Linked DNA regions of Notamacropus eugenii. The protein of the gene in region 4 interacts with the protein of the main gene of each other region in a biochemical or structural test. Links are inferred from orthologs where the notes say so. Each region holds a gene or a part of one and is shown on either strand. Other genes may lie near its edges. The genes, in order: MAPK12, ASNSD1, TANC1 and SNTB1.

Region 1 (7,495 bases), on a different chromosome or scaffold from region 4:
ATCTGGGGAGGGATAGAGCATCCCTCTATCCAGCTACAGCCAGATTTCCCCTCCAGAGGGCGATGAGGGTATGGCATCCAAAGCCAAATTTACCAGCCTCCTGCCTCCAGAAAAGTGGGCATAGGGGAGTTGAGTGTGGGAGGGGAGACAGAAGGAGAGCAGGCTTCAAATGTGTCCTTGCCCTGCACAGGTATTACCTGCCTGTCCCCTACAGATGGAACCTCAGAAGGGGGAAGCATGGAATGTTACCACTCCCCATGGAGTCATCCTTCCAGGTGACTTTTCCACTCCATTCCTTCCTCACTCCCCTCCCCCAAGTCTAGGCTCCATCATCTGTGGTTTCCCTAGACCAATGGAACAGTATCACTGCTGGTTCCTCTGCTTCCAGTCTCTTCTCCCTCCCATCCATCCTTCACATGCTACCAAACCAATCTAACTGGACCCTGCTCTGACCACCCTGCTCCCCTGCCCAGCAAGCTCTCTGGAGATGAGGTGTGCTCAGTTCCTTAACCTGACTTAGCCTGCCTTTCCAAGCTTGACTCACATGTTCTCTGGAAGGTAATGTGGTTGTGTCTAGGGTTCTGGGTTCAAATGGGACCTCTTGGAGCCAGAATTTCCCCCTTTGAACAATGGAGATGACACTGATTCCTAGCTCACTGAGTGGTTGTGAGGTTCAAATGACAAGAGCCACAACTAGTATGTTTATGGCAAGCTACGGTTTGCAGAGAGTGTTACCCCATTTGGGCAGCGCCACTTTGTGAAGCAGATTCTAGCATTCTTCTCAGCTAGGTGCTGAGATGTCTTGAGGCTGGAATCAGGAGGACCCGAGTTCCAATTTGGCAGCAGATTCTTACTAGCTGAGTGACTCAGGGCAGGTCATTTAACCTCTGTCTGCCTCAGTTTCCTCAACTGTAACATGGGGATAATAATAGCATTTGCCTCCCAGTGCTATTAGGAGGATTAAATGGGATAATATTTGTAAAGTGCCTGGCACATAGTAGGTGATTACTAAACACTTGCTCCCTTCCCCTGTATTCTACAGATGAGGAAGCTGCATCTGAGGTAGGTTAATATGTGTGGAAAGTACTTTGTAAATGTTATAACACCTTAGAAACATAGTTATTCTTGCACCTTCCAGACACACTCCATGTTCTCCTGCCTCTCATCACAACATTTCACTGGCCTTGAATGTCCCTCTTCCTTCTTTCCAACTCATGTTTAAAGCCAAACTCGGAGGCCATTTCGTCCAGGAAGCCTTCCCCGATGTCCTCAGACCAGCCAGGAGCTGTCCCATCAGGCCACATGGACTGCTCAGAAGTCTGCCTTTATCACATATAATGTCTATTAGGCATTAGATAGCTTCGGGGTCTTTTCTAAAGGTTCTCTTCTCCTCCTGCACAGCAAGCTCATGCTGCAGATTCCTAATCAATATTTCATGCTTTTAAAGGCACAAACCTGGGCATGTGCCCTTGGGGAGTTCACCTGGTGGCAAGGGCAGGGGAGGAACATCCTGGGAGCTTGGGCATGTCTCAGGGGAGGTCCCAGTATAGTAAAAGAAGAAGACACTGGGATATCACAATATTCTGGGATAAACTCATTAGCCAAGTGGTAGGGTGGGCTGCGAGTCTAGTTAACTGGTTAGTCCCAGGGCACTGGGGACCATGGGGCATTCAGGCTCCCCAGGTCTCAGGGGTGAGTTTGCCCATTGGCCCATAGCATGAGGACCCTCATTGGCCAGCAGAGCTGGGACCCTGAAGCACAGTATGGGCTGGGGAGGCCAGATTTAAAGGCCTGGGAGTATGTGGGGGAGGGTCAGGGCAGTTGAGGAACAGACTCTAGGTCTTTGCTCTCCCCCTCCACCCACCCTTACCTGTACCTCAGAGAGCACCTGCCCAGAGCTCCCATCCTGCTGATTCTGTTCAGATCCTCAAAGATCACTGGAGGCTAAATTACAAGGAAAAGTCACCCCTTCACCTCCCCAGATAATGTGTTCTCTCGATTTGGTCAGGGACTTCTCCCAGAAAAGTCGTGGGAGTCCTATGGTGCCGCCAAAATGGGCGGGGTGTGGGGGATTGCCTACTCCATCTCATCTCTCCTGTGAGCCTTTATGTTTGGCGGGAGCAGGTCAGCCCACAGGCTGGCTGTGGCAGCCAGCAGCCAGTACAGCGTGCTGAGGGCCCCCTACCCCTGGGAAGCTGGCGACCAGCCCGATGGGCAGGAGAGCAGGTAGTCGCAGGGCTCACTCACGTTCTCGTGCCGCATGTGTTTGAGCAGCCGCAGCTCCCGGTATGCGCGCTTGGCGAACAGCTCGGACTGGAAGGGACGGTACAGCTTCTTGATGGCTACCTTGGTATCAGTCCTGCTGTCAATGGCCGAGCTGGAGACCGGACACCCGAGCACTCAAGTATCCCGGCTGGTAAGCCGTCCCGGGTTCTCCCTCCCGCCCCCAGGAAGTCTAGAAAGCCCGGAGTTGGGAAGAGGAGGTTCCCTCCTTTCCTTCCACACACGTGCATTCAGCCACCCCTCCCCGGGGGAAACGCTCCCCCAGGGCCCAGGCGGGGCTGAGCTCCCCGGCCCCCTCAGCCTCCAGGCCCATGGTCAGGGGCTAGGGCTGGGTCCCAGGAGGGAAATAAAATGTGACCTTTGGGAGCAGTCAACTGCTGTTTTTGTTCATGGATAATCTCATGGTGAGATCCCATCCGGACACCCCCTGCCCAGTCACTCAGCCCCGTTCGTATTCTCCCTGCCAACTCAGCGCAACACCCTGTCCGTGGCCCCCACTCACCACACGGCCCCGTAAGCCCCCGAGCCCACTGGCTGCAGGTCCCGGTAGAGGTCCCGCACCTCCCACGCAGTCTTAGTCACCTCCTGCCGGTAAAAGCCCTTCCGGGGGGGCGGAGGAGAGCTCATGGCGACTGGAGCGGGGTGCCGCGGAGGTCACTGACCCCCTGTGCTCACACGCACTCACACTCGCTTTCGGACACACGCGCGCGCATGCACAGACACACATACACAAACACTACACTCCCACAAAGGCTAACCCGCCAGGGTATTTCCCCCCACCCCAGAGGGGCGAGAGGCTGCGGCTGCCTGCCGTAGCCACGCCCTGGGCCCTCGAGAGTGAAGGGGGCCACCCCCCCCACTCTGTGCCGGGCTCTCTTCTCTTCCCCTTACGCCCTCTTTCCTCAGTCTCTCTCCCTCTCTCGTCCTTTTTCTTTTTCTGCTTTCTTTTTGGACTCGTACTCTGGTACTTTCTCTTTCTCTCTGTCTCTCAGCCTCTGGTGCTTTCTTTCTCTGTCTCTGTCTCAGATCTCTGTCTCTGTCTCAGATCTCTGTCTCTCTGTCTCTGTGCGTTACTCTCTCCTTCCCTCTCTGGTCTCTGTATCTCTCTCTCTCTCTCTCTCTCTCTCCCCCTTCCCCCCCTCCCCTTTCCTAGTCTCCGACTCTTTGTCTCTCTTTTCCCCTCCGACCAGGGGTTGTCTAAACCTCTGTCTCTGTTGACCCTCAGGCAGTGCGGCCCCACGTGACCCCGGCCCTTCCTCCTCTTCCCCTGGGAAGCAGCCCCAACTACCTGATGGGGGGAGGTGGCAACAGGGAGGCGCCACTCTCAATTCCATTCCCTCCCCTCCCCTCTCCTTCCTTCCCCTCCCACTTCCTTTCCCTTCCCCTCTCTCCTTTTTCCCTTTCCTTCCCTTTCCAGCCCTGCCCAAGCCTCCCCTCCTCTTGCTCAGACGTCAGCTCCCAAGGGGAGTAGGGTGGGGGTGGGGAGGAAGCAGGGCCCAAGTCTCTGGAGCTTTGTTTGACAACGTCCTCTTGCACGTTAAGAATTACAAAGTGCTTCCCTCACTGGAAACTCGTGAAATCGTTATCTCCATTATATTAAGTAGGGAAACTGAGGTTGGTTGGGGGCGAAAGATGACCTTACTGGAGCTCCTCCATTTAGAACTGGTCTCTTGCGTAGGAGAAAAGAGCTTTGCTCCCCCAGAAAGTTGGGGCAGCCCCTGGGGCTTGGAACTGTCTGTGAAATCTAAGGCTGCCTACAACCTGCAACTGATCAGCCTGAGTCTGTCTGTCAACGCCACCGCTCCAGTTCCCCTCATGGTTGCTGGGGGACTCTGTCTTTGACGTTGCTTGTTTGGTATCTGTGGGTCCCCCCACTTCTCCTACCTAGCAGACAGCTCCGGCTTGGTCTCGGGAGCTCCTCTTCCTCCCTCCTCCCTCCCCTCCCCCGTGTTCATCTTGGGGGGGGGGGGGGCGCGAAGGCTCGGATCTTTGAACCGGTTTCTCCTCTCCGCTGATCGTTTTGCTGCCATGGGTCCGATTTTCATTTCTGTGCAGATGTCTTTTCAGGCTCTGATCTCTGCTGCTAATATTCCCTGAGTTCCAGCCTTGTTTTGCCAGCTACCTGCTCTGCCCTCTGTCATTTCCAACAGATGAGTCACACTCCCCAGGTCCCCCAGGTCTTGTCAATCATGTCCTTTGCATCTCAACACCCTATCTACACCTTTCTAAAATATGTAGGGGTCTGTTCCTGGCCAGTGGTCCAAGCTAACATCCATCTCTCTCTAGCCAGGCTGGACCAGCTAGAGAGAGCTGGTTGTTCATTTTCATTGTTAACATTTACTACTCAGAACTCAGCAAGTACTACAGTTCAGAACTTGATTTATTGTTCTATTGATTGTCTATGCTTAAGAAAGTGATAGACAAAATGGTAATAATGTAGGTTAAACTTAAAAGTGGGTCAGGTTTTTTTTCCCTTAAAGCTGATTGTTAACCATTCATGAGCACACCCCTGCCAGTGGTCCCCCTAGTCCACTGACAGTTCTAAGAAAAGAGGGACCCCCCTGTATCTGAATTTCGTACCTTGCCCCAAGTTGATGACAGGCATCTTTACAAAAGTCCACAGAATCTTAGAGCTGAAAGGGAGGCCCTATGTGCCTATAAAAGAATGCCCTCTACACCATGCACCAAAGGTGATCATCCACCTTCCATTTGGAGCTCCCAGGTGATGGGCATCTCCCTCCCTCCTCATACAGCACATGCCACTTTGGTGAGGCAATCCTTTTTGCTAGAAAGGTTTGTCTTAATTCTAGGTAAAATCTTCCGCAATACAACTTCTGTCCACTGTTCCTGGTCCTGCCTTCAGGGGCCAAGCAGAACAAAGCCCTTTATATGCTTAAATACATAGATGTTAGCCCCTTGATCAACCATAGGGTAAATGTGTTGAGTTCAGAGGGACATCCAAGTGGAGCTGTCCAGCAGGCAGCAGTTGGTGATGTGAGTGTGTGTGGGAGAGAGGGAGAGAGGGAGAGGGAGAGAGGGAGAGAGAGAGGGAGAGGGAGAGGGAGGGGAGAGAGAGGGGAGAGAGGGGAGAGGAGAGGAGAGGAGAGGAGAGGAGAGGAGAGGAGAGGAGAGGAGAGGAGAGGAGAGGAGAGGAGAAGGAGGGAAAGAGGGAGGGAAGGAGGGAGAAAGAGATTGAAACTCATTAAGGGCTCTATGCATAATCCATACAAATCTATAGATTTGGGGATCATCTGCATAGAGAAGAAAAATAAATCTATGAAACCTGAAATTACCAATGAAGAGTGAAAAGAAGAAAAGCAGAGCTGGTTCAGAGCCTTGGGACATTCTCACATTTTACAGCTTGTAGGAAGGCAACAATTGGGTGATGACAATTAAGAATGAAGCGTCAGATAGGCTTGTGTTTGTCATGAAATAAAGGAATAAACTAATCAATTGATTAATTTAGCTTAATTAATTTAATCCATCTAAGCCTCTCCCCAAACTTGCAACTCTCTTATTTCTGTGGAGGCTATCTCCAAGTCACCGAGGTTTAGAATCTGAGTCATCCACTAGCCTGGCAAAAAGCAGAGGAGAGATATTTCAGCTGCCTTTAAGTATCTAGAGACAAATCCTAAGTATTAGATGGAGGAGGAATTAGCCTGGTTCAGCTTGACCTCAAAGGGCAGAATAAGGAGCAGGGGGTGGAAGTTTCAGGGTGGTCCAAAGGTGGGATGGGCCAAGGCTGCCCTCCTTGGAGATCTTCAGTCTGAGTTTGGCTTAGGACTTGTTGCTGCTCTGTCATTTTGTGAGTCTTCTCTCTTCTTCAGCCCCCAGTCCAATTCCAAAGTCTTTTCACTCAAGCCTAGCCACAAGCCTAGTAGCCCCTTCCCTCATCTCTCACCCAGACTGTCCCTTTTTCCAATTTTTGCTTTCTCCAATCCTTCTCCCACAAACTGTAAAAATCCGCTTGCTTGGACACAATTCTGACCATGTTACCCTTCTCCTAAAAAAACATTAGCATGTGGATGCCCCCACCCCCAATGGGGGGCATCATAGGGCTAGGGTCCCAAGTCCCTCAGCCCTACAAGTTTCTAGAGACTTCCCTGCCCTAGTCCTTCCCTCTTCTGTTAGCTGATTTACAGATTATCTGGGGAGGCCCTGGGCAGACCGTTTGTCTCCAGCAGTGTTTGGGGACCCATGAACTTGGGCAACCAGAGGATTGAGGAAGGGAGCTGACTGGAGGAGCTGGAATGACTGTGCCAGAACAGGGCCAGAGGGGTGGTGTTCTCTATTGGTTTCAGGACACTGCTGTGTCAGCCTGACATTCAAGGCTCTCTGCACACAATCTGGCTTCTTTGAACGTTCCTTTGGCTGCTGGGTCTGGCTCTTGGTCATGCTATGGAGCGGATTTGGTTTGTCTCCAGAGCATGTCCACCATCAACCCTTACCTCTCTGTTAGATCCAAGCCTTCAAAATTCAGGTACCAACCTTCCATCCTTCAATCTCTCTGAGGGACTGGAGCCCAGGCTCCTTCTGTCATGATGGGATTTCCTGCCCAGAGACCCTCATTCCAACCCCCTTGTGCAGGGGAGGACAGCAGGGCCCAGAGAAGGAAGGGAGTTTTGTCAAGGACATGGTGAATAGGTGAGACAGCATCAGTGAGAAGCCAGACTTCTCTCCTCTTCTGAAGGCTGGCTTCTTCTTGGACTGAGCTCACCACCTCTCCAGGTCTGGGAAGCTGAGTCATGACCTCAAGGAGGATGCTGGGTGCTCCCAAGGCCACTCAGGGCACCCCTAGACAGCTCACATCCTTAGGAAACTTTTACTTGAGTTTTTAATTCATCCACCAATCAATCAATGAGCATTTATTGAACACCTACCATGTGCCAGGCACTAAGGGTACAAAGAGAAAGGGTACCTACCTACCGTCATGGAGATTATCCTCCATGGGAGGAACCACCAGGTGCACATATAATACAAAATATACACAAAGTCTCTATGTTTGATTGGAAATACAAATTTCACAAAAACAGTATTGATACTGGAGGTCTGGCCTTCCATGGAGCTGTCTCCAACTCTCCACAGTGACTCCTCCCTGCTCTGCCCTCAGGGTTAGGCAGAACACACTAATCCTTGTACTTGATACCCCTCTAAGACTTGAAAACAAGCTACAGTATCATGTCCCTTCTCCAGATTAACCATAACTAGTCCC
Region 2 (7,562 bases), on a different chromosome or scaffold from region 4:
AAATAGTTCTGAAAAGGACTGAAAACATAATACAAAAACATACTCCAAAAAACTAAGAAGTATTCAAACTGAAACAAGTCAAATTCTATCCCACAACTAACAGATTAGAAAATATGGCAACAAAAGAAAATGATGACTATTGTAGGTATTACTGGAGAACAATAAGACTAAGGAGCTGTTGTTTGAGCTATGAATTGGTGCAATCATTCTGGAAAACAATTTGGAATTGTTTCCCAAAAAGGCACTAAAACTCTGTATTCTTTTGGCCCAATGATACCACTGTGATGCAAAGCTGCCAAAGAGATATAAGAAAGAAGAAAAGGACATACGTGTATAAAAAAATTATAGAGCACTTTTTGTCATACCAAAGAACTGAAAACAAAGAAGATCCCCACCAATAAGAGAATGAATATCTAGTCAAATTATGGCGTGTAGATGCAATTAAACATTATTGTTCCCTAAAAAATAACAAACATTGAGTGAACCCTGGGAAGATTTATATGAATTGATAAAGATTGGAGTAAGCAGAATCATGAAAATAATTTATATAAGGCCTATATTGTAAAAATAAAACAACTTTGAAAGATTTAAGAGAACTCTGATCAATGTAATGAACAACCACAACTCCAGAAGACTGGTGATAGAGAAATCATATTTCTCAATTCTTGACAGAGATGATGAGCTAAAGGTATGGAAGAAGGCATTCATCCTTATAAATGGATAATGTGTGAATCTGTTATTTTTGATTATACTTATTTTTTATGAGAGGATCTTTTATTTGGGAGAGGGGTAAAAATAAAGGGAATAGATGGAGTATTGATAAGAGTAGGAAAAAAAGAACATCAATGAAACATTTATTAAATATAAAAAAGAGAACAGAAGAGAGTTCAAAAAGGGAAACAGATAATCAGGACAGTATTGGAATCATGGTTATATATTTATCATACATTTAGGGGGAAAAAATACTGTACATAAGAGAGATTCACATAGCCAGAGAGGTGACACAGTGGATGGAATACTGGGCCTGAAGTCAGGAAATCCTGAGTTCAAATCCAGGCACAGACACTTACTAAACATGTGACTCTAAGCGAGACACTTAACCTCTGTTTACCTCAGTTTCCTCAACTGCAAAATGAAGACAATAATAGCACCTATCCCCAGGATTAAAATGAGGATCAAATGAGATATTTGTAAAGCCATTAACACAGTATCTAACTCAGGTGGTATATAAATACTAGCTATTATTATTTCATACACAATTCTCTTCTGTTCTTTGTATATAGAAATGATCTTGTTTCTTGATTTTTTCAAGTTCACAATAATATTTTTAAAAGAATAGATCATACCATATGAATCTTGTTTCCTTTTTTGAAAGGATTACTTGCAGACAAGGGGAATATTTTAGATATAGTTTACATAAGCATTAGTGTCACACTTAAAGTACCTCATCCTAGTAATATGGACAAGATAGAACAACATGGGCTAGATGAAGTTTCTGTTAGATAGGTGATTTGTATGATTAATCCAAAAAGTAGCTACATTAATGAGTTTATTCTGGTTTAGAAGGAGCTATCAAAGAGAATGCCCCTGGAATTTGTCCTTTTTCTCAACGGCATTGAAGAAGTCATAAAAGGCACATTTGCCAAATTTGGTAATGATACAAAACTGGAAAGGATATCTAAATGTTAAATAGCAGTAGAGAACCAAAAAGATCTCAAGAACTTAGGAAAATTGGGCAAATCAAATAAATCAGAGAAAATTTTAAATCTGAGTTTTAAAAAATCTTCATATATAATGTAAGGAGTGGTTGACCAATAATTCTTGTAGGAAGAACTAGAGATTTTACCTGACTATAAGGTCAATATGAGTCAACAGTATGACATGACAATCCAAAAGAAAATTAATGCTTTCCTCTGCACTAAAAGAAGCATACTATATAGAAAAAGGGAAGTGATATAGTAAACTGCCCTGATCAGACTAGATCTAGAGTACACTGGCCAATTCTGGAAACAAAATTTTCAGAAAGACATAAATAGGAACATGTCTTAATGAGGTAAGCAGGAATAGTGAGGACTGAAGACCATAGCATATAAATTAGGGATGTTTAGCCTGAAGAAAGGGAGATTTAAAAAGGTCATAATAGCTGTCTACAAATATTTGAAGGTCAATCCTGTGAAAAAAGGAGTTAGACTTGTTCTGCTTGCCCTGAGGGGAAGACATTAGGAGCAATGAATACAGTTGCAAAGTGATGGGTTTAGGCTTGACATAAAGAAAAATTTACTAAGAATTAAAGCGATCCAAAAGGAAAGGATAGGGATTTGAGGAGAACCCATGTTAAATGTCCTCTGTCTTGGGAGTTTGGTAGAAAGATGGGTGTTTCATCAGGTGGCTGAAGATTGTTATCAGGGAAGAGAACCTAAGGATAAAATATCAGGAATACTCTGAAAGGCTGGGAAACCACTACAGATTTTTTTTTTTTGTAAGGCAGGAATCTTTCTACTACAATATGGCCTCAGCCTTGTGAAGGTGAATACTGACTTACTATTTGGGATAGTATTAGTCTCAGGAACTCATATTATTACAGATTTCAAGCTCTAGGGGACCAAAAAGATCACCTAGTCTGGTCTTATAATTTTATAGATGAGGAAATTGAGGCCCAGAGAAGTTAAGTCATTTTGCCCAAGATCATATGTGTCAGAGTCAGGTTTTAAACACAGGCCCTCTGAGTTAAAATTTATTCTGCTGGAGTCTTTCTCAAATTGGTATTTTTCCAAATCACAAAATATTACACTAATATAAGAGCTGAAGAATGACTCAGAGCAGTGCAGTATGCTAGATGGAGTCCTAGAATGAGATGAAAATAAAATCAAGATAAACTCTCCTTCCTATGTACTATTCAGCAGGTCTTACAATACTGTTGAAAAATTGTGGGTCACTGTACAACCTAAACAGTACAACATATTATTCATGTAGGTAATAATAAATCTAAAAAGTCATCTTCTGTTAATTGCATCTGGATGAGATTGTATGATAACCAAAGGTCCAATTTCATAAATGTGGCTGCCAACTGGTCCATCAGTTTGGGTATCAAGGGTAGTAGACGACCTGTTATCTCCTGGACTTGGATAGCAATGGCCCCTCATGATGGTAGTAATGCTAAAGTCTCAGCTCCCCATTCTTCTGGGATATGTTTCTGGGATAAGAAGAGGCAAGTCAGTATACCTTGTATAGGGTTGTTTCTGCTAAATGGCGAAGATGAAACCTTCCAGAAACTGATCTGCTAAAACCCTTACCAAGCTCTGACTCAGGGAACAGAGGAAACTGGTTCTGTGACCCTTTTTCCTTTTTGGTATCTGCAGATTTCTCTAGTTAGCCAGATCAGGCTTTTTGGGGGGGGTTGTAAACCCCCCCCAAAGAGGTCTTCCCAAGAATTCTCTCCACATCATCCATTGGAGGAGCCTAACCCTGGAGTTAGGCTGCCTTAAACATCTGGGAGTGGAGCTCCATAAACAGCTTCACTAAGGTCAGGGATGCTGTCCCTACACTGCAAAAAGCAAACAAACAAATAAATAAATATGGGGAACTTTAAGTGCCATCTTGGGTCCAGGCCACTGATTCAGTCAGGAATTCTCAACTTTCAGTCCCTCAAATTCTCTCTTTAGGGTTTTTTGTTTTGTTCTGTTTAGATGCAAAGTCTGGGTTAACCGCTATAACAGGTCCATGGTCTCTGCAGCCCCCTGCTGGGAAAAAAGCAAAACAGCAGGTAACCTACCATTGCTGCTATAATCAGTCTCCAGGATGGGAAAGGACGGGAAACAGGGGAAGGAAGGGAAGAAGGAATGGAAGGAGAAGAAGGGGAAAAGCAACGGTGGGAGAAAAGGGAGGGAGAGAGGAAGGAAATGAGCATTTATTAAATATTTAGCATGTGCGCTACACTAAGCACTTGGGATACAAATGCACACTTGGAATCCCAAATACTTGGATACAATTATAAGTAAAAAGAAAGAGTCCCTGCCCTCAAGGATCTTACTTTCTAATGAGGGAAGATGACACAAAAGAGAGCTGAAAAGCAAGGGAGGGAGGAGGAGGAGGGTCAGCAAGGATGTGGGGAAAAGACTGGCCTCCATCACTGTAAAAGAGGGTAAATTTAGGTCTATAAGGTTGTTATGCAGAGAGACAGAGCACCACAATTCAATTAGGCTGAGACAAATGGTGAGCTGGTTGCCAGTCTGAGTTTAAAAACTACAGGAATCTATCAAAGGCAAAGAAGGAAAAATGAAGGAAATTTAACAAAGGTAACACACAAGCTGCTTCTCCAAAATTAAGGTCTTTTTAATTCAGAGTAATGGAAGACCTAACATGGTAACACTGGTATCACTACATGGTCCGAAGTGAGTGCCAGAACTTCCTGACCAAAACCTGAGAGTGATGTCAGTTATTATCACTACTTAACTAATTATTAATCTAGGCCCTCATCACACCATGCCTACATGCATTCAGTCATTCAACAGAAATGCACTATGTGCCCACTCTGAACAAGGTAGCGGATTAGATGCTGGGGATAACTAACATTTAGGATTAATGGAGTGCTTTAAAGCTCCCAAAGCAATTTTTTTCCATTACCAGGTTTGAACTTCACAACAACCCAGTGAGGTACATACTATAAATAGTATTATCTTCATTTTACAGATAAAGAAAAACAGGTTAAGAGTTAAGCAACTCCCTCATTCATTATCATATATCTAGTAAGTTATCATAGGTAGTTTTCAGTTCTAGATTTTCCTAAATCCAAGCCCAGTACTCTAGCCACTCTACCATACTGATAGAGAACTAGGGAATTATATCTATGGATTTGATTTTTCAAAAGTATTCTGAAATTATTTAGAGTCAAATCTGGTGAATGAGGTGGGTCACTAAGCTAGATGATGTTATTCTCAATTTTATAAAACTAGAAGTGACTATTTAAAAAAAAGTTGAGAATGATTTGTATGGTACAATAAAGTAATTATTCTCATTACTTTTTGGTCATTCTTCAAGTATGATATTCAATCAAAACTATTTTATAGCAGAATACTCTTAGTGGCACCAGCCTTGATTTTAAGAGGCAACCAGCTGGGCTTCTTTTCATTTGATGGGTAGAAGTTAAAAAAGAGAGCAAAGCAGAAAAAAGTGTCTTATTACTGTAAGGAAAAGGGAGATTAGGGGTGAAAATGACTTGTGAATTCATGATTGAGTATGTATAGGTAGACATTTGACCAAAGATTTCAGTGGATGACAGAGACCAGGGCATATTTCCTACGTCAAGTCCCTACTTAGCAACCTGAGTAAATAACCATTCTTAGAGGTGCTAATCTAGCAGGCTGGCACCATTTTCTCATTGGCAAGCATATGTTGTTATTGTTCAGTCATTTCAGTCCAACTCTTTGTGACCCCATTTGGGCTTTTTGTTTTGTTTTGCTTTGGCAAAAATATTAGAATGGTTTGCCATTTCCTTCTCTAGCTCATTTTACAGATGAGGAAATTGAGTCAAACAAAGTTAAGTGACTTGCAAAGGGTCACACAGCTAATAAATGTCTGAGGCCATATCTGAACTAAAGTCATCCTGAATCCAGGCCCAGCACTCTATCCACTTCACCATCCAGCAAACCATTGCAAGCATACAGAACAGGATATACTCCAAAGAGATTTAGGTTTGTTTTCTTTTTAACACAGTTTGAACTTCTGTGGTATTTCTTTTTTTTCTTCTTTTTGTTACATTAATATATATTTATGGAATAAAATAAACACTTCCATAACACATAATAATAAAAGAGATGATCATACATGAACTGCAGATCTACCATGCACAATTTGCTATTCCTTTCAAATATACAAAATTATCATATAAATTTACACATACATATTATTCCATACATACTTCTATTTATCCGTTCTTCCTCTGGATAGCATCCTTCTTCACACACCTTTTATGGTTAATATGGTTATTTAGAATAGTCAAAACAACTTATTTACTCATAGTTGTTCTTAAAATAATACTGCTGCTGCTGTTACTGTGTACAGTGTTCGCTTGGTTCTGCCCATTTCACTCTTCATTATTTCATATACGTCTTTCCATGGTTTTCTAAGATCATGGAGCATATCCTCTCTGATAACACAGTATATTCCATCACAATCCTGTACACAACTTGTTCAGCCATTCTCCAATGGATGGGCATCCCTGCAATTTCCAGTTCTTTGCCATCACAAAGAGAGCTGCTATAAACAGTTTCGAACATAAAGGTTCTTTTCCTTCTCCCCTAATCACCTTTGGTAGTGTCGGATCAAGAGATATAGATAGTTCAATAACTCTTTAAGCATAATTCCAAATGCTCTCCAAAGCGGCTGGATCAGTTCACCAATGATGAAGGTGTCCCAGTGAGAGCTCTGCTAGCAATTAGTTGAGATGGAAGTCTGTAAAAGTGCGCCAATCATCAGATTAGGTAAAATGACAAAAATGAGACTAATTCACTGGAGCTATTCTAAAAATGCGAAACTAAGCTCCACGGCGACTCAGCTGGGCTTACACTTGGATCCAGGGTGATACCACCAGGGGATCCAGACCCCAAAGGGGTCAGAGAGCAAAAGGACTCATAGGGACAAAAAATATCTAAAGAGCTCTTGGTGTAGCAGCAAAACATTAGAACCTTAGCGGGGCTGGGATTAGCTGCGGTACGTAAATACAGCGGAATATTGTCGTACCGTAAGAAACTGGGAAATGGAGGGTTTCGGAGAAAACTGGGAAGATCTGTATAAACTGAAGAGTTACACAAGTGTGCGTCATCAGAAAGACCTGAGGATTCCGATCAAAGCAGTAACCATCCACAACAGAGCAGACATGCAAAGAGAAATACGCATTTTATGGAGGATATTTCTTTTTCATTGGGGGAGGGGGGAGAAAAAATAAATGTCTGCTAATTTGAAAAACCCAAATTTAATTAAAAACTAGTTCTCACAATAAACAGTGGATTTAGAGGCAGCGTGCGGTAATGGACAGAGAAGGCGTCCCCACAGACACCTGGCGGCTGCGCGATCTGGGACAAATCGCCGAACTTTCCAGCGCTCCAGGCAGCTCTTCGGTACTGAACTTCCCATTACCTAGCGTATCTGAGTCTCCAAGCCTGCGAAATCCCTAGGCAAAGGAACCTCCAGGTGCAAAGAGGGCGACAACCTGAGGGCCTACTGGACAGTGCTGGACACGCGGAAAGTTTTTAATAAACGCTTGTTAATTCCAAATAAGCATAAATTTTAAAAGTCTCGATTTTTTCTACAGGGGACAGCAACGTACTATAAGCAAAAGGCTGGGGCGGAGGGGGGGAAGGGGAGGGACGCGGCGAGGGAAGAGAAGCACCGACAAGGAGACAAGAGCAGCACTCTTAGCTTACAGGCCAGCGCTTTCGAGAACTCGGGGCCGGCTTACGCGGCTGCGCATGCGCAGAGACGAGGGGGAAGTTAGCGGCTGCGCACGCGCAGAGAAACTGGACCCACGAGCCACTCCGACGACTAGCCGGAGCGTGCAAAACTGG
Region 3 (7,693 bases), on a different chromosome or scaffold from region 4:
TTTCATTTACTGCACAGGGCCAGAGAGAGGTGAATTGACTTTCCTTCAAGGTCACACAACTGGTTCTGGTCATATGTGCCTTTTGGTACCTTTTTTAATTAGAAAAAGGACAGGGAAGGAGCTGCTTTTTACTAGTTTTACAGGTAGGAAAAAAAAAAGCTGGAAACCAAACCAGCATAATTCACCGAAACAAACAAACAAAAAGCCTTGGGCTAGATTTTGCTTTCACAAATTTACCCCTTTAACTTCTCAATTAAACTGAACTTTGGGCAGGTTTAAAAAAAAAGCTACTCTCTAAGACCTTCAAAGTCCATTTGTAACCCAGACAAAACCTTAACAATTGAATTAGAAATGTATAATGGAAACATTGACATAATGTTAACCTCCAGCTATGCTAGCAGGCATAATTATACTATGGATTACAGTTCTCTCTTTACAGGGATGCTGGTTTTAGTGCTTCCCTGGGGGATGAAGTATTAATCAGGAACACTTTATTCAGAAGATGACGTGGCACAAAAATGAACAATTTAATCAAGATTACTTCACTGTCCTTAAAATTATGCCCTCCGATCACCACTATCACAAAGCTGTAATGGCACCAAATAAATGAGTGTGGTTAGACCAACAAAACGTTCCTTCCCTACAGGCTTTTATGGGAAGCTGAGCAAGGCTGGCTATGAAAAAAGCTATGTTTGTGCTGTACAACGGACAGAAATAATAATTTGTCCATTCTAGGGTTTAACCAAACCAGAGAAAGCAGGAAATCTACCACTTCCAACTACTAGCAAAATTAAGTTTGTTGCACCACATCTGCAAGGCCAGGTCACTTAAAGAGAACCTTAAATTTATTTCTGGACTTTCCTGACTTCACTACAAGTCAATGACACTATTTCCCATCCTTTATTGTCAAATCACAGTAGTCAGGAAGTTCTGGAATAGGATCACTTGGCAGGTGAGTAACTGGACCAACACTGGGCGGAAACACTGAAGGATGTCAGATACCATATTTACTTCCTTTACTTGAGAATACTTTTAATTTTAAAACCACCAGGATATACTTACAAAAGCACTCTGGCTGACACCCACCAAGCATTATGGCTCACACAGAAACTTTGCACAGAAATCAACACACTCGATGTAATCTCTTTGCAAGGCTCATGAGTAAAACATTCAAAATACTATAATGAACACCTCTCAGCCACTCATAAATTCTTTCGTTCCCAGCAATCAAAAAAGGCAGCTGTTAAAGGCCAAAAAATCTCCTGCCTTTTCCAGTAGCTGGGCTGACACTACTCTGCCAGATGGGGAAGCCTTTACTTACTCCTGAATCTGTAACTAGTCTTAGGCACCCCTCCCCCTTGCGTTACAGTGCCACCCTGGCAAACATAAGGATGATAGAGGAAAAGCAAAGACAAGACACAAACATCCCTTTTTCCTAGGGCACCCTTCTTCCCCACTAGCCCACCGAAAGAGAAAACCAATACACAAGCCTTATTTAGTGACAAGAGCCAGTTCCTAAATCCTTTCTTCAAAGGTTTTGAATTAGGCACCTCCTTCCAGCAGGGGCGTCTGGGGGATATCCTGAGCAAAACTCATTCAACTGCTGTGTCCTCCAGTTTGCAAGTAAAGGGGATGGGGCGTTCTATGTCAGTCAAGTTCAGGATTAAAGCGGACTAACTAACTGCCCAAGGACCTATTTTCTGCTCTCAAAGTTAAATTTGGAGTTTGCAGATAATCTCCAAAGCCATCATTCCAGGTACAGCCATTCATGCTCCTAAGTATAAACAAAGGTGAGAGTGGATGACTACGGTTAGGTTCACGGCGGGTTCTCGCCACCCCCAGTGGCTCCTCTACTTGGCTATCAATCACCACATTTCCGGGCAGAAGCCTAGCACCATAAAACAAGCAAACTTTTAAAGACAGTTAAAGAGACTTTTCTTGATCTACAGAGAGCACCCAACGCTTGGGGTTTCCTTTCCAGACTGGAATTGTGGAGTGCCCCACCCCTGGGAAACTGTGCCCCTGCCTAGACCCCGAGGTCAATACCCTTCATCTCCCCAAGAGATGATTTACACTGACTTTAAATTAAGAGAGTGAAGGAGTAGACGCACTCTTGACACAATTCTTTTCCTTTATCCAAGACAAACCATCCTTATGCTACACAGTACAAAAGAAAAAAGGGAGGGGGGAAGAGAGGAGTTGAGAGATGTTATATTGTTTCTTTAAAAGTTGGAGACTTTCTACGGGGAATGTCGCTTACATCACCATCCATCTCCCTCCAACACTTGCCCCTCCAGCTTGGAGACCCCGGTCACTCTCATTGCCAACGCCCCTGCGCGCCGTCCTTCCCCCAATCTAGCGGTGCCAGGTACCCCTTACCTCCCACCACTTTCCCCCGCCCCAGGTACCAGGCGCAGCCCAGGCCCTGGCCAAGCTTGGGGGCAACAGAACTGGGAGGAGGAAAAAGGACCCAGAGCACGGGACGGGGAAGTGCCTGAGGAGGGACCCCAAACTTCCACAGCGCCAGGGCCATTCCCACCAGCCCAGCAGCTGGCCTAGCGCGGCCGGGCCGGGCCGGGGCGGGGCAGGGCAGGAAGAGCAAGGAAAAGGGCGGACTTGCTGCTCAGACCCGAGGCCCCGCGGAGCACCCAACATGTCCGAGCGTATTCCCTGGCGGCTGGAAACGGGGGTGCATAGGGAAAGGGGGGGTGCGGCGAGAGAAACTTTCCCACGCCCATCCTTCCTTTCACCCTGCACGCAGCGCGTGCTGCCACCCGCACCCCGGGAATTTAACAAACATCCTCCCGAGAAGTCAGCCCCGTCTTGTTCCCCATGCGCCCGGGACTGCGCCAAGTTACCTGCCGCCGGGAAAGTTTCCAGCTCCTTCGGGGCGCTCGCTCCCCCAGGCGCACGGCTCAGCGGTCCCGGCGTGCGCGCCCAGCCCCGCAGCGCCCAGCGCAGCGCAGCCCAGCCCAGCCCCGCAGCGCCCCGGCCGCCCCCCGCCGCCTCTGCCCCGCTGCCGCTGGGGCTGCTGCCACTGCTCCTCCTCCTCCTCCTCCAGCCGCTCCCGGGGCTGCTACTGCCAGGCGGCTGCTCCGAGCCGGGTCTCCCCGCCTAGCAAGGCCAACACCGGGGCCTCATTGGCAGCGCTAATCCCCGCCCTTGCGCGTTTTCCCGAAGGCACCTTCCTCCATCCCCTCCTCCCGCCCCGCTCCCCCGGCCTCCTTCTCCCCTCCTCCTCCTCTCCCCCCCCCCCCCCCCCCCCCCTCGCTCGGAGTCTATTTGCAGAAGGGACCGGCTGGGGCGCTGCGGGAGCAGCGCTAAATGGACGCTGCGCGCGGTGCCCTTCCTACCCCGCCGCGGACTCCGAGTCCGGGCTTCAGCGAAGGAGACTGTCCCTAAAGGTCCGAGCTTTCCCTACGAAGGGGAGTGAGGATGCACTAGGCGAGGGGTGATCTGGCCTTCTTTCCTCCTCCTTCAGATCAATAAAGGGATCCGGCTGTCTCCTCTCCCCCACCACCCATCACCCCCAGCCCGGGTCTGGCTGCCCTTTGGAAATCACCGAGGAAAACATGTGGGAGCAATTAGACGAGCAGAAGTTTGGAGTTGTTGTTGGGGGCGGGGGGGGGGGGGGGGTGTGGAGGTGTTAATTATTTATTTATATATTTTTGGCACTCGCCTGCTTGTTTCCTCCGCTTAGTTCTTAGTTCTCCCTTTCCCTTTGGAAGGGCTGTGGCTGGGGGTGGCTTCGCTGAGGCGGTGCGAGGGTCCGGTGGGCAAGATCCCCTCCCTGCTGTTCAGCCTCGACAAACAAAGCGGAGCGCGCAGATAACGAGGTGGCCGCCAGCTCAGACCCGGGCTGCCCCGCTGCTTTGCGTGGCTCCTGCAGTTCGGGCTCCCCCTCCCCCTCCCCCCCCCCCCCCCCCGCCAAGTGTTTCTATGTCAAATGCAATCGTTGTCTATTAACACTGTAGGAATTTGAAGTTTTTAAAACATTATCATTTTGGATTGTAACTGCAAATCAAAAAACTGGCGACCCAAAATATGTTCACCTGTAAAGAAGAAGTGGGACAGGATTTAGAGATAGCTGCCCTGAGTTCGAATGCCAGCTCTACACGTAGTTGTCTTCGACAATCCACTTAACTTCTCACCTGTGGAACAAGGAGTTTGCATTGGATGACCTCTGTGTTCCCCCATTCCTTTTCTAAATCCATTTCCCCTAGACTTCAGTGAATAAGGAGCAGACTCCTTAGTCCGGAAGACCTGGGTTTAACTCCTGCCCCTAATCTATACGGGCTTGGTGACCCTGATCAAATCTCTTCACTTCTCACTCTGTGATTAAACATTGCAAGAAAGATGCTGATCTGCATTGGTAGATGGACTTTCCACGCTGGGAGTTCCCCACACTAATAAAATAACAGGTCTGGGCCTCCAAAAAAAAAGGGGGTGGGGCGGAGAGATTCCTGCAAAGCCTGAGTGAAAACTATGCCTATTTATCTCGAGCTTGTGAAAGCACTGGATACCTTAGATCCAACACTCCGTTTTTAAGACAGTAACACCTACCCCGTGCTCTCATTCTAGGACGAGGTGTAGTCTACCTTGTCCAAATGCTTCATATGGCCCTGACCTACGCACCCTTAATCAATTGTGCCTGTCGTATTTTCAGAAGGAATTTTGCATGGTTTGCTTCATCAGTGGGATTGGGGAACATATGTACAGAAGTTGCTATAAACTGGTTTACAGGCAACCCATAACCTAGTCTGTGAGACATTCTCTTTTCAGGACAACCGTATTTTAAACGAGTTCCCCATAAAATTTGGCTCCTCACACAGTACTTCTCAGAATGAAGATAAAGCAATAAGCATCTCCATGTTTCTAGACTCCAGTAAAAAGATGCACTAAGTGACAGGGAACTCTGTCAGTATAACAGGACTACTGAAATTTGTTGAATTTTCCCTTGTAGTTTCAAACTTAGTTATTCTGAACCTAATGTTTGAGCTATAAACTCATCCAAACAAAAAAGAAATGCTGCTAAAGGCACCCTTTGTCCTACTTCAGAAGTCACATTACAGATACCCACAGTGTAATTCATTCTAATTTACACTAAGAAGGAAGGAGATCTTGTGAATGTTATTTTAAGATATTTTAAATGCACGAAAGTTATCAAATTACCATTAACAGGAGTGAGTAGACAGAGCACCAAAGGGAAAGCAGGAGGATGCAAAACAAAAGAGACCCTCCTACCTGATTCTAATAAATGTGTAATATTAAGAGGTAAAAGAAGCAGTACTAGTAAGAAAGTCAAGGCAACAGACTGGCTGGCTCATCTCCCACTACAAATTAACGTATAGCAGGTCAAATTTATTCTTTGCATTACTTTTTTTTACTTCCTATTTTCTCCAAATTCTGTCTTCCAATATATGCAATAAAAATTATGTTTAATCATGCTTTGGAGGGGCAGATAGGTGGCCCAGTGGATTGAGTGCCCCAGCCTGGAGTCAGGAAAACATTGAGTTCAAAGTCAACCTCTGACACTTAATTACTAGCTGAGTGACTCTGGGCAAGTCACTTAACCCTGTTTGCCTCAATTTCCTCAGATGTGTAAAGTGGAGAAGGAAACAGCAAATCATTCTAGTGTCTCTGCCCAGAAAACCCCAAATGGAGCCCCAAGGAGGGGGACATAATTGAACAAAAATTTTGATTTAAGGTTGAATTTAATGAAGTTTCCCTATAATTAGAAACTAACAGATATCTATAGATTTATCAGTTACCATTAATTCCTTTAAGTTCTTTCTTTAGTGACTTGATTTTTTTTAAAGTGGCTTTAGAGCACTGATATAAAGTAACATTTTCAGTGGTGTTTAATATTTTAAGCAGTCACATGGCTAGCAATCTGAAATTTGTACACAGAGGGGCCCTGTCTCTCCTTCTTCCTACAATGTTTATGTAATTCAAAATACACATGTTATACTATACAATTTAATCTCCAACTTTAAACAGCTAATGTTACATATAGCTACATCACAGAAAGAACATCAAAACAACTGTATTTGAGGTAGGAAGAACATATAGTTTAAACAGAAAAGAATGATGAAAACCACAATATAAAGTAATTATTTAAAAACTTGCTGGTTAAAAATTTTCCCACAAAAATCAATGTTTTAAAGAAAACATTGGAACATTTTTGAGCTTTCCATATGAATAAGTGAATGAATATATGAAATGAGAAACAGGAAGACCTCATTTCAGATCCTACTTCTGAAACAAGTGGTATAACAATAAGTAAATCACTTAAACTTGATGAGCCTAGGCATCTCTCTCAAGTTGTCTACTAAGGGTTAGAAGTTGATTGTGGTCTGCTTAATACTTAGTATTACCACAGGAACAAAATAAGCTTCTAAAATACTAAATAAGTCCAGTTTCAAGTAATTTAAATAACCTCTCCATAAAAAAAAAAATCTTTTATTCCCATTCTTTTGATTTTGTGTTACTGAAGGGACCAGATATTGTTGTGGGTAGGGTGAGTATGCTTTCTTCTGTTATCACCATCTCTTGCACTTTAAAAGGTTTTATAATTGGCTTTACATTATATATGGAAAGAGAAAACGATATTTGTTTTGGAGTGAGAAGACCTGAGTTCAAATAATGCCTTTGTAATTTGTGTGTGTGTGTTCATCCTTTGTTGCCTAAGAAGACCATGCCATCAGAGAAATAAAGACATGACTTGCACTTGACTTTGTTTTGAGTGAGGGAGGGCTGTGCAGGTCACCAGCCTCACTTCTCCTCCAGAACCATCTGAATCCAGTGACCAAATATTCACCAGGATGACTGGAGATGACCCAGGATGAGGCAATTGGAGTTAAGTGATTTGCCCAAGGTCACACAGTTAGTGAGTGTCAAGTGTCTGAGGTGAGATTTGAACTCAGGTCCTCCTGACTCCTGCTCTGGTGCTCTATCCACTGCACCACCTAGCTGCCCCCGACCCCTGTAATTTATAACTTGTTTGACCCAGGACAAAGTCCATTCCTTGGGCCTTAGTTTCTGCCACTGTAAAATGAGGGAGTTGAACTAGACCTTGGGTCCAGAACAGCTCTAGATCTAAGAAGTATGAACCCCATCTGGAAAAGAGTGCGATGTTTTGGTTGGGAATCTTAATATTTGTCATGTGTGCCATATTTATATATTGTACTTAAAAACACAATGAGATTACAATAATTTTTCTGCCCTCCAATTTGCAAACTTTCCAAAGCTTGGGGAAATAAAAACAACAAATATTAAACTGGTAGGTCATTTTACCATACAGCTTATTGCCTAGAGCAGGAAACCATGCATTGAAAGGAAATATATGCTTCCCTAGGCCCAGAGTCTTTGATTTTGTTTAAAAAATCAGTTAGGATCAGTGCCAGTGTTTATAGCCTATGTAATACACACAGTGAAAGAAGAAATACTTTGAATTCTGTAGTCCTTAAAAATTGAAAAAAGACAGTAGTGACAGAGTAAAGGCACTTCAAGGCGTATTAGAAAGGGTTTTGCGGAGAAGGGCCTGTCTGGACTTTAGAAAGACAAAGTAAATGGAATTCAGAAAGACTTGGACAACATAAAGAAATAAGAATCACATCACTAACAGTCTTGACATGTGTAATGGCATTTGGTCATATATATAGGTACTAACTCATGGTTAGATGTAGTCTAA
Region 4 (7,609 bases):
TGAGATCTGGTAGGGCTAGGTCATCTTCCCTAGCATTTCTTTTCATTAGTTCTCTTGATATTCTGGACCTTTTGATGAATTTTGATATTATTTTTTCTAGCTCTAAAAAGCTCTGGTATTTTGGTATGTCACTGAATAAGTAAATTAATTTAGGTAGGATTGTCATCTTTATTATATTAGCTTGGCCTACCCATGAGCAACTGTTGTTTTTCCACTTACTTGGATCTGATTTTATTTGTGTGAAAAGTGTTTTGTAACTGTGTTCATATAGTCCTTGGGTTTGTTTTGGCAAGTAGACTCTCAGATATTTTATAGTGTCTACAGTAACTTTAAATGGGATTTCTCTTTCTATCTCTTCCTATTGGGCTTTGTTAGTAATATGTTAGTAATGCAGATGATTTATGTGGGTTTATTTAATACAAAGTAATTTCATTCTATGAAATAATAGGGAGAGAGACTGGATTTGTTATTTTATTATATGTTGTTGTTCATCCTTCATTTTTTAAGAGGACAAATGACACCGCTGAGTAATATCTGTGTGTGTATGTGAATTAGATTTCAGTGAGGCAGGTTTTCCCAAAGTCATCAGCCTCACTCTCTCTTCCAGAGACATAGAAGTCCAATGACGACACAAAAGTCAGAATGACTGGTGATGGCCCAGGATGCAATGGATGGATGACCTTGGCATCTTTGATATCTGACCAAGCTCTAAGTGTTCCATGGATCCTACTTCAATTGGGCCATACTGTTTTCATCTACCCATTCTGCTGGAGGAAGTCTTCACAGTCTTGGGATAGACATCCCTTTAATTTAATATAAGAAACTTATAGATGAGGAAACTCCCTTTACCAAAACAGATCAGCACCTTCTCTTTAACATAAAGCACTACAAAGGTGAGGAAGGGAGGGAAGTGAGAGGGTAAATGATTTTCCAGGATCACAGAGCCAGTATGATTAAATGAAAAAGATAGTTTGCATGATTCCCATGCACAAGATCAATGAACCTTGGTCTTTCTGGCTCAAGGCTGGCTCTCTACTTATTAGGCCACATTTCTCACAATATTTTATAGATACTGAATAGAAACTAATTTCAACAGATGAGAGATAGCCTGGAGTGACTAGGGAACTAGCCTTCTTTCTGTCTTTAATGGATACTAGCTATGTGACCCTAAGGAAATCACTTAACCTATCAGTGTTCCAGACAAAGTTCTAAGGCAAAAAGTCAGGTTGTCAAATACAAATTTCCACTGGAAGACAAAGCTTCCTTACCAGGGAGCTTCCCATAAGGATGAAATCACACATCTGGACTAAAAAAATGAAGAGTTCCCCTAAAAGATAGAGTACTAATGGGGAAAAGGAAAGGAAAAATATTGTGGAGGAGATTTCAAATTTAGCCTTTGGGGATCAACTTTTCCTGTAACGTGGAAAAGAGGGTTGCATTTAGAGTCAGAGAACCTGGCTCCAGACCTCAGCTCATTCGCTGTGTGTGATTCTCTGAACTTAGATTCTTCTGTAAAATAAAGGGGCTAGTCTCTATGAACTGCAAAGATCTTTTCCACCTAGCAATCTATGTTCTAGCATTTTCTGACCTTGACCAACAAATCTGAACTTCTGAATGCCTTTGACAATTTTCTAAAATTTTAAGTTACAGCTGAGTCGAGGATCTTTATGGGTAGAAGAAACTTTCTACACTGATGAAATCTCCTGTCCAAAGCACCTCCACCCCCACCACCAGCCTCCCAAAAGTCATCAGACTTGAAGAAATCTGTTGTACTAAGAGGATGGGAGTTATGACTGAAGACAAAAGAGGTCAGTAATTTGAGAACATGGAGAATTTTGAGGGGAAGCGTAGATGAGGCACTGAAAGGCTACTGCAGTGGGGGATTGGGGACAGTATGAGGATAGGCATTAGCAGCATGAAGAAGCATGAGGAGTGAGGAGAATGCCAAAGAGAATCTTCACCTATTTCAAATGTTTGCCTAGGACTATCCTGGTGGCCATTAAAGGACAGAAAATGCTCTTCTTTTTCCTATTCCTCCCTCCATACTGCATGGTCTCCTGGTCTCAGAACCCAGATTTTAGAATAGCGCCATTAATACTATTGTTGTTATCCATTATGCTATTAAAGCTTAAAGCTGCATTGAGACTTTTGAGAAACCCAGTATGAAGCTCATCTATATAACAGATTAATAATAATAGAGCTTATATTTCTGTAGGGTTGTTGTGAATAAAGCATTTTAGAAATCAGAAAGACCTATATAGGGGAAGCTAGGATGTGCAGTGGATAGAGCACCAGGCCTGAAGTCAGGAAGACCTGAGTTCAAATCCAGCCTCAGACCCTTACCAGCTGTGTGGCCCTGGAAAAGTAACTTATCCCTGTTTGCCTCAGTTTTCTCATCTGCAAAACAGGCTGGAAATGGTAAACCACTCCATTATCTTTGTCAAGAAAATCTTAAGTGGAGTCACAAGGAGTCAGACATGACTGAATAACAACAACTACAAAGCACTGTACAAATGTGTTAGAGAGGCAGGATGGCAGGCCTTGTAGCAAATAATCCCAGGATTCAACTCCTGTGCCTGACACATTGGTTATGGGACACTGGGCAAGGTGCCTCACCTTTCAATGCTCTAAAGCAACACTTCTCAAATTTTTTGCTCTCAAAATCCCTTTATACTTTGAAAAAATGATTGAGGACCCTAAAGAATTTTTATCAACGTAAATATCTATTGATATCTACCTTATCTGCGATTAAAATATAAATTTTAAAAATATTTAACTCATTTAAAACAAGGACAAACCCACTACATGTTAACATAGATAATATTTTATGAAAAATAAGTATATTTTTCAAAACAAAAAATATTGAGTAAAAATGGCATTTTTTATAGATTTTTGCAAATCTCTTTAAAGTCTGGTTCAACTGAAGATGGTTAGATTCTCTAACCTGTTCTGCATTCAATCTGCTGTCATGTTTTTCCTTAAGACAATCAGGCCTCACACAGTCAAATAGTCAGGAAAAGGAAAGAGCATTTTAATAGGCAAAAAATGAATTAGTATTATCGTGAAATTAATTTTGCCCTCATAGACCTCCTGCAAGGACCTCAGGGACACTTGGGGGAGGGGGTGTCCATAAACACTTTCAGAACCACTACTCTGGGGAAGGTAATGGTGCTAGGTGCTACACACTGTGCTAAGTATTTTACAAACATTACTTCATGTGATACTGACAGCAACCCTGAGAGTTACAGTTTATTACAGTTCTGATTACCTCAGTTTCACCAGTGAGGAAACTGAGAGAAGCTGGCTACCCATGGTCCTTTATGTCAGTGGTAGGGTTGAAAAATGGAAAATGGAAATCCAGGTCTCCTATATGACTGAAATGACTCAATAACAAAACCTGATGCTGAGGGGAGCACTCTTTCCACCACAACATTGCTGCCTCTGTAATAAAAATAAAAGTAATAAATAATCTCAGTAAGATCTAAGGTTTATGCAGAATCACTTTTAAGGTTTGAAAAGTGCTATTGTGGCCTAGACTGGCAATGTACCAGTCTTTTGTAGCATTTTTCTCTATGAGAAAACATGTTCCCAATTCCAACCACTTCAAAAAACAAATCCTCCATACACTGGAGCCTGATACGCCCTAGAGAGAGAAGAAATAGGAAGGAAGTAAAGTTTGGAATGGGATTAGGGAGAAAGGACTCATAAAGCATACAAAATAAAAGAACAAAATCGGATTGAAGTCAAGGCAGGTGACTTCTCTGAGCAAACAGGGAGACAGCACAGTAATTCATGATAGCAGACGTTGGACTAAATCCATTTCCATTCCTTGGACATGACACAAGGCAAGTCCTCTGAACACGGAGAGCTTTGAGGAATTGGGTTACTATGGGGACTTCGGGTTGACCCTAAAGTCTGGATACTCAGGGTCTCCTTTTCTCCGGTTTTTTTTTTTTTCCTGAGGGTGCAAGCTACCTTCTCACTTAGCCCCGGAGTCCCCTTGTCTTTGACTTTCAAAAAAAATTCGTTAAGACGAGAAACCAACCAGAGCTCAGCAGAGAAAGGAAGGATTAGGTTTGGGCAAAGTAGTAAGAGATGGCCCTAGGTTTATTTCAGAAGGGGGATATTAGAAGGGTACGTGGCAAGCTTAGGCCACGAGAGAGGATAGCAGATGTGGCCCAACAAGGCTAGCTGGAGAGAAAAACAGCTGAGAAGACAGGAGCTGAGAGTAAAAAGTCTGTGAAGAGGAAGGGAGCCAAGGCAGAGAGGGGGCTCTTGGCACCGATTTGGGAGCGGTCGTCAGCTCAGGTCTCTGCTACGCTTAGTTGGGGAAGGAGGGGTGTAGGTGGGGTGGTGCAGCATTGGTTTGCCTTTGCTGCGGCGGCAGCGGCGGGAACTGGAACAGGTGAGCTGCGGGTGCCAGGTCCCTTCCCTGCCCTTCTCCCAGTGCCCTTTCCAGAGAAACCCTGCCCAGCTCTTTGCAGTTCGGCAGCTCCCCTCGGATTGGGGTTTTGCAATTGGCGGCAGGGTGCTTCTCCCCCCCCCCCCCCCCCCCCTCCTTCTTTTAGGTTGCTCCACCCCGCCCCGGATCCGGCGAGGGGGGAAAGCAGCAGAAGCGATTAGCTGGCGCTAGCCAACTCGTGCTTGCGGAGTGTGTCTCTGAACTCCGGGAGTGAAGTCCCGCGGCGGCGGCAGCGGCAGGCGCTGCCCCTCGGGTCTCGGGCTTCTCGCTCCCGCAGGACCCCTTGGCCTGCCCCTACCCCCTTCCCTCCAGCACACCCACCCTTCCCCACTTTTTTTTCCTTTTGCAATCACATGGTATTTTAAGAATGCTGGAAAGATGGCGGTAGCAGCAGCAGCAGCTTCGGCAGCGCCGGCTGGAGGAGGCGGAGGCCGGGGACAGCGGAGCGGGCTGCTGGAAGTTTTGGTGCGGGACCGCTGGTACAAAGTTCTGGTGAACTTGAACGAGGACTCCCTGATCCTGAGCAGCGAGGAAGGGGCCGGAGCTTACAACGGCATCGGGAGCGGCGGAACCACCAATGGCTCTTTCGGCCGGAGCAGTGGCGGCGGCGCCAGTGGCCACGGCCCCGGGGGTCTCGGGGGCGGCGGGGGCGCTGAGAGCGGGAACCAGTCCCTGAACACCTCTGTGCCGGCGGTCGGGGGCAGCCCCCAAGTGGGAGTACGCACTGCCTTCACTGACCTGCCTGACCAAGTGCCCGAGTCCATTGCCAACCAGAAGCGGGGCGTGAAGGTGCTGAAACAGGAGCTCGGGGGGCTGGGCATCAGCATCAAGGGGGGCAAAGAGAACAAGATGCCCATCCTCATCAGCAAGATTTTCAAGGGACTGGCAGCTGATCAGACCCAGGCCCTGTACGTGGGGGACGCGATCCTGTCTGTGAATGGAGCCGACCTAAGGGACGCCACCCACGACGAGGCAGTTCAGGCGCTCAAGCGAGCGGGTAAAGAGGTTCTGTTGGAAGGTAAGGGGTTAATGCCTCCTGAGACTCGCTGCGCATACAGACACAGGCATACACACAGACACATGGACACACACACACGCCAGGTGGTAAAACACACGCACTCGCTGGGGGCCGCGCCGTCTTGACAACTTTTGTGTCCTACCAGCCTCACCTCCCCATTCCATGAAGTCTGCCAGCGGCAGCGGAGAGATGACAAGCCCGGGTCACTTCAACTAGCTTTCCCGACCTGGCCTTGTAAACACTACCCTTGGGCTGGTACTACAGTAAAGGTCGGGGTCTGGCTGGGATGTGAGGGTGTGGGAGGAGTATGGTTGGAAAAGTGGAAGGAAGAGAATAATCCCAACCTCTCACATGAGAATTCCTACTCTGGCGCTTTGGGTCTAGGGATTGACTGGGCGAATTGGGAGAGACAGGGACAGACCAGGAATGTAGAATCGAGCGCATTTAGGGTTAGGGTTAGGGTTAGGATCGAAGGTCCCCGATCCCCCTCCCCCACCCCCACCCCCCCTTGCAGTTGGTGTTGGGCAAAGTCTAAGACCTTTCACTGGCTGCACGTGTGACCTGTAGAGACTGGTGATGTCAGAGACAGAGACAGAGAGAGACAGAGAAACACTTGTCAGCTAGCTTAGGCAAGGCGAGAGTTTTGCTAAGAAAATGTGGCAGTTTCGTGCAGGAGTTCGCCACTCCTTCTGCAGGGCGTCTGTCGGTCCAGTCCGGCTGGATTCTTGATTGCGCTGCGTGGAGAGCTGTGAGGTCGTTTTCTGCCCACATTTTTTTTTTCTAGGCTTTCTTACTGTAGTCATATGGTCTGGGGCTTCAATCTGCACTAGTTTTTTATCCGTGCCTGAGGTGCCTTAGAAACTACTTCGTGAGCCGATTAACCTGAACACCTCTACACCCCTCACTAGGGCTGCGTCTGAAATACCCTAGGAATTACTGTTCATTACAGGTTTGGAGATATCCAATGTTGTGAATGCGGGGGAACAGTTGCAGACCAGACAATTAATTCTTCATGCCAACTGCGCGCACATTATCCCTCCATTCTATGGAACAAAACATTCCATCTGAGACCCCGTAAAAAGCCATTTGTTGTAAGCCTGGGAGCACGGAATCTGGGTGGAGGAAGACCAGTCTGGCCAGACTCCCTGATGGCCTTGTGGTGGTGCTGCTGTCTCTCGGTGTGGAGCTGTGAGAGGAAGAGAAGCCGCGGTCGAGCCCAGCGCTGCGGGGAAATAAACTTTGCAACTTGTGACAGGTGATGCAACTCCCTGGAATATGATAGCCCACCTGATGGCCCAGAAGAAATGAATTAAAGCGACGCGGAGTTGGGTGTGGAGGTGTTTCTGTACTCTGCCGACGTACTGCTTTGTGCCTCCTGCTTCTACCGCCCTCCGCAGCTAACTCGGCACTAGTCAATTTGCTTTGGCTTGGTGATTACCATAAGTAAACAGTCAAGTTTTTCTTTGCCAAGGTGTGTTGGGGTAGGTGGGTGGGTAATAAGACCTGGTCCCAGCCAATTATAATTATGTGTGTATCTATATAATATACACATATACACAAACATACAGATACCATCCAACCCTATGTCTTTCTGGAGCCCAGTAAAATACTGAATAGAGGCTAGTAGGATCATTGACTTCAGGCTGTTACTTTAGGAACTAGCCCCATCACCTCTTCTCATTCAGTTTTCTTTTTTTTCTTTACACCCTTTTCTCTTTTTTTCACACTCCTTGGGGTCTTCCGGTTTTCTGACCAGCAATTCAGATAGTCATCTAAACAGATGCTTTGTGATGTAGCAGGCAGCACAATCTGAGTTCCAGTCTAGCCTCGGGCTCTGGCTGGTTATACGACCCCAGACTAGTCTTTCAGTGACCCTAGGAACTTCTTTCCTAGACTTAAATTGCAGAACACTAACTCAGTTACATTGATTGCAAGCATTTCCTCACTGGAGAGCTTTCTGCCCTGATGAAATTATTGGTCTGGACGAAAAAAATTATCTAGTAAAGAAGAAAACAAATTACCCTGGGGTTGAGGTCAGTGGGGTGGTCTTGGAAAGGATAATATCAAAGAAACATATGATGAGGGAAAGTGGGAACATGCCAGATAGAGAATGAGCTCACCTGGCTGTT

The links.
Region 1: the proteins of SNTB1 (region 4) and MAPK12 interact in a test that uses a peptide from one of them, tested with the Homo sapiens proteins (2 studies listed by IntAct, with this or other methods). The link is inferred for Notamacropus eugenii from reciprocal best matches to the Homo sapiens genes SNTB1 and MAPK12.
Region 2: the proteins of SNTB1 (region 4) and ASNSD1 interact in a test that uses a peptide from one of them, tested with the Homo sapiens proteins (2 studies listed by IntAct, with this or other methods). The link is inferred for Notamacropus eugenii from reciprocal best matches to the Homo sapiens genes SNTB1 and ASNSD1.
Region 3: the proteins of SNTB1 (region 4) and TANC1 interact in a test that uses a peptide from one of them, tested with the Homo sapiens proteins (2 studies listed by IntAct, with this or other methods). The link is inferred for Notamacropus eugenii from reciprocal best matches to the Homo sapiens genes SNTB1 and TANC1.

The regions. Positions count from the first base shown.
Region 1 is NC_092874.1:304,234,006-304,241,500, reverse strand, and holds the start of MAPK12 (mitogen-activated protein kinase 12), read right to left. Parts: upstream 3,019-7,495; 5' UTR 2,911-3,018; coding exon 2,786-2,910; intron 2,378-2,785; coding exon 2,248-2,377; intron 1-2,247. UniProt on the Homo sapiens protein: Serine/threonine kinase which acts as an essential component of the MAP kinase signal transduction pathway.
Region 2 is NC_092876.1:256,830,196-256,837,757, forward strand, and holds the start of ASNSD1 (asparagine synthetase domain-containing protein 1), read left to right. Parts: upstream 1-4,559; 5' UTR 4,560-7,562.
Region 3 is NC_092876.1:217,990,582-217,998,274, reverse strand, and holds the start of TANC1 (protein TANC1), read right to left. Parts: upstream 3,001-7,693; 5' UTR 2,859-3,000; intron 1-2,858. UniProt on the Homo sapiens protein: May be a scaffold component in the postsynaptic density.
Region 4 is NC_092875.1:124,293,394-124,301,002, forward strand, and holds the start of SNTB1 (beta-1-syntrophin), read left to right. Parts: upstream 1-4,599; 5' UTR 4,600-4,840; coding exon 4,841-5,480; intron 5,481-7,609. UniProt on the Homo sapiens protein: Adapter protein that binds to and probably organizes the subcellular localization of a variety of membrane proteins. May link various receptors to the actin cytoskeleton and the dystrophin glycoprotein complex.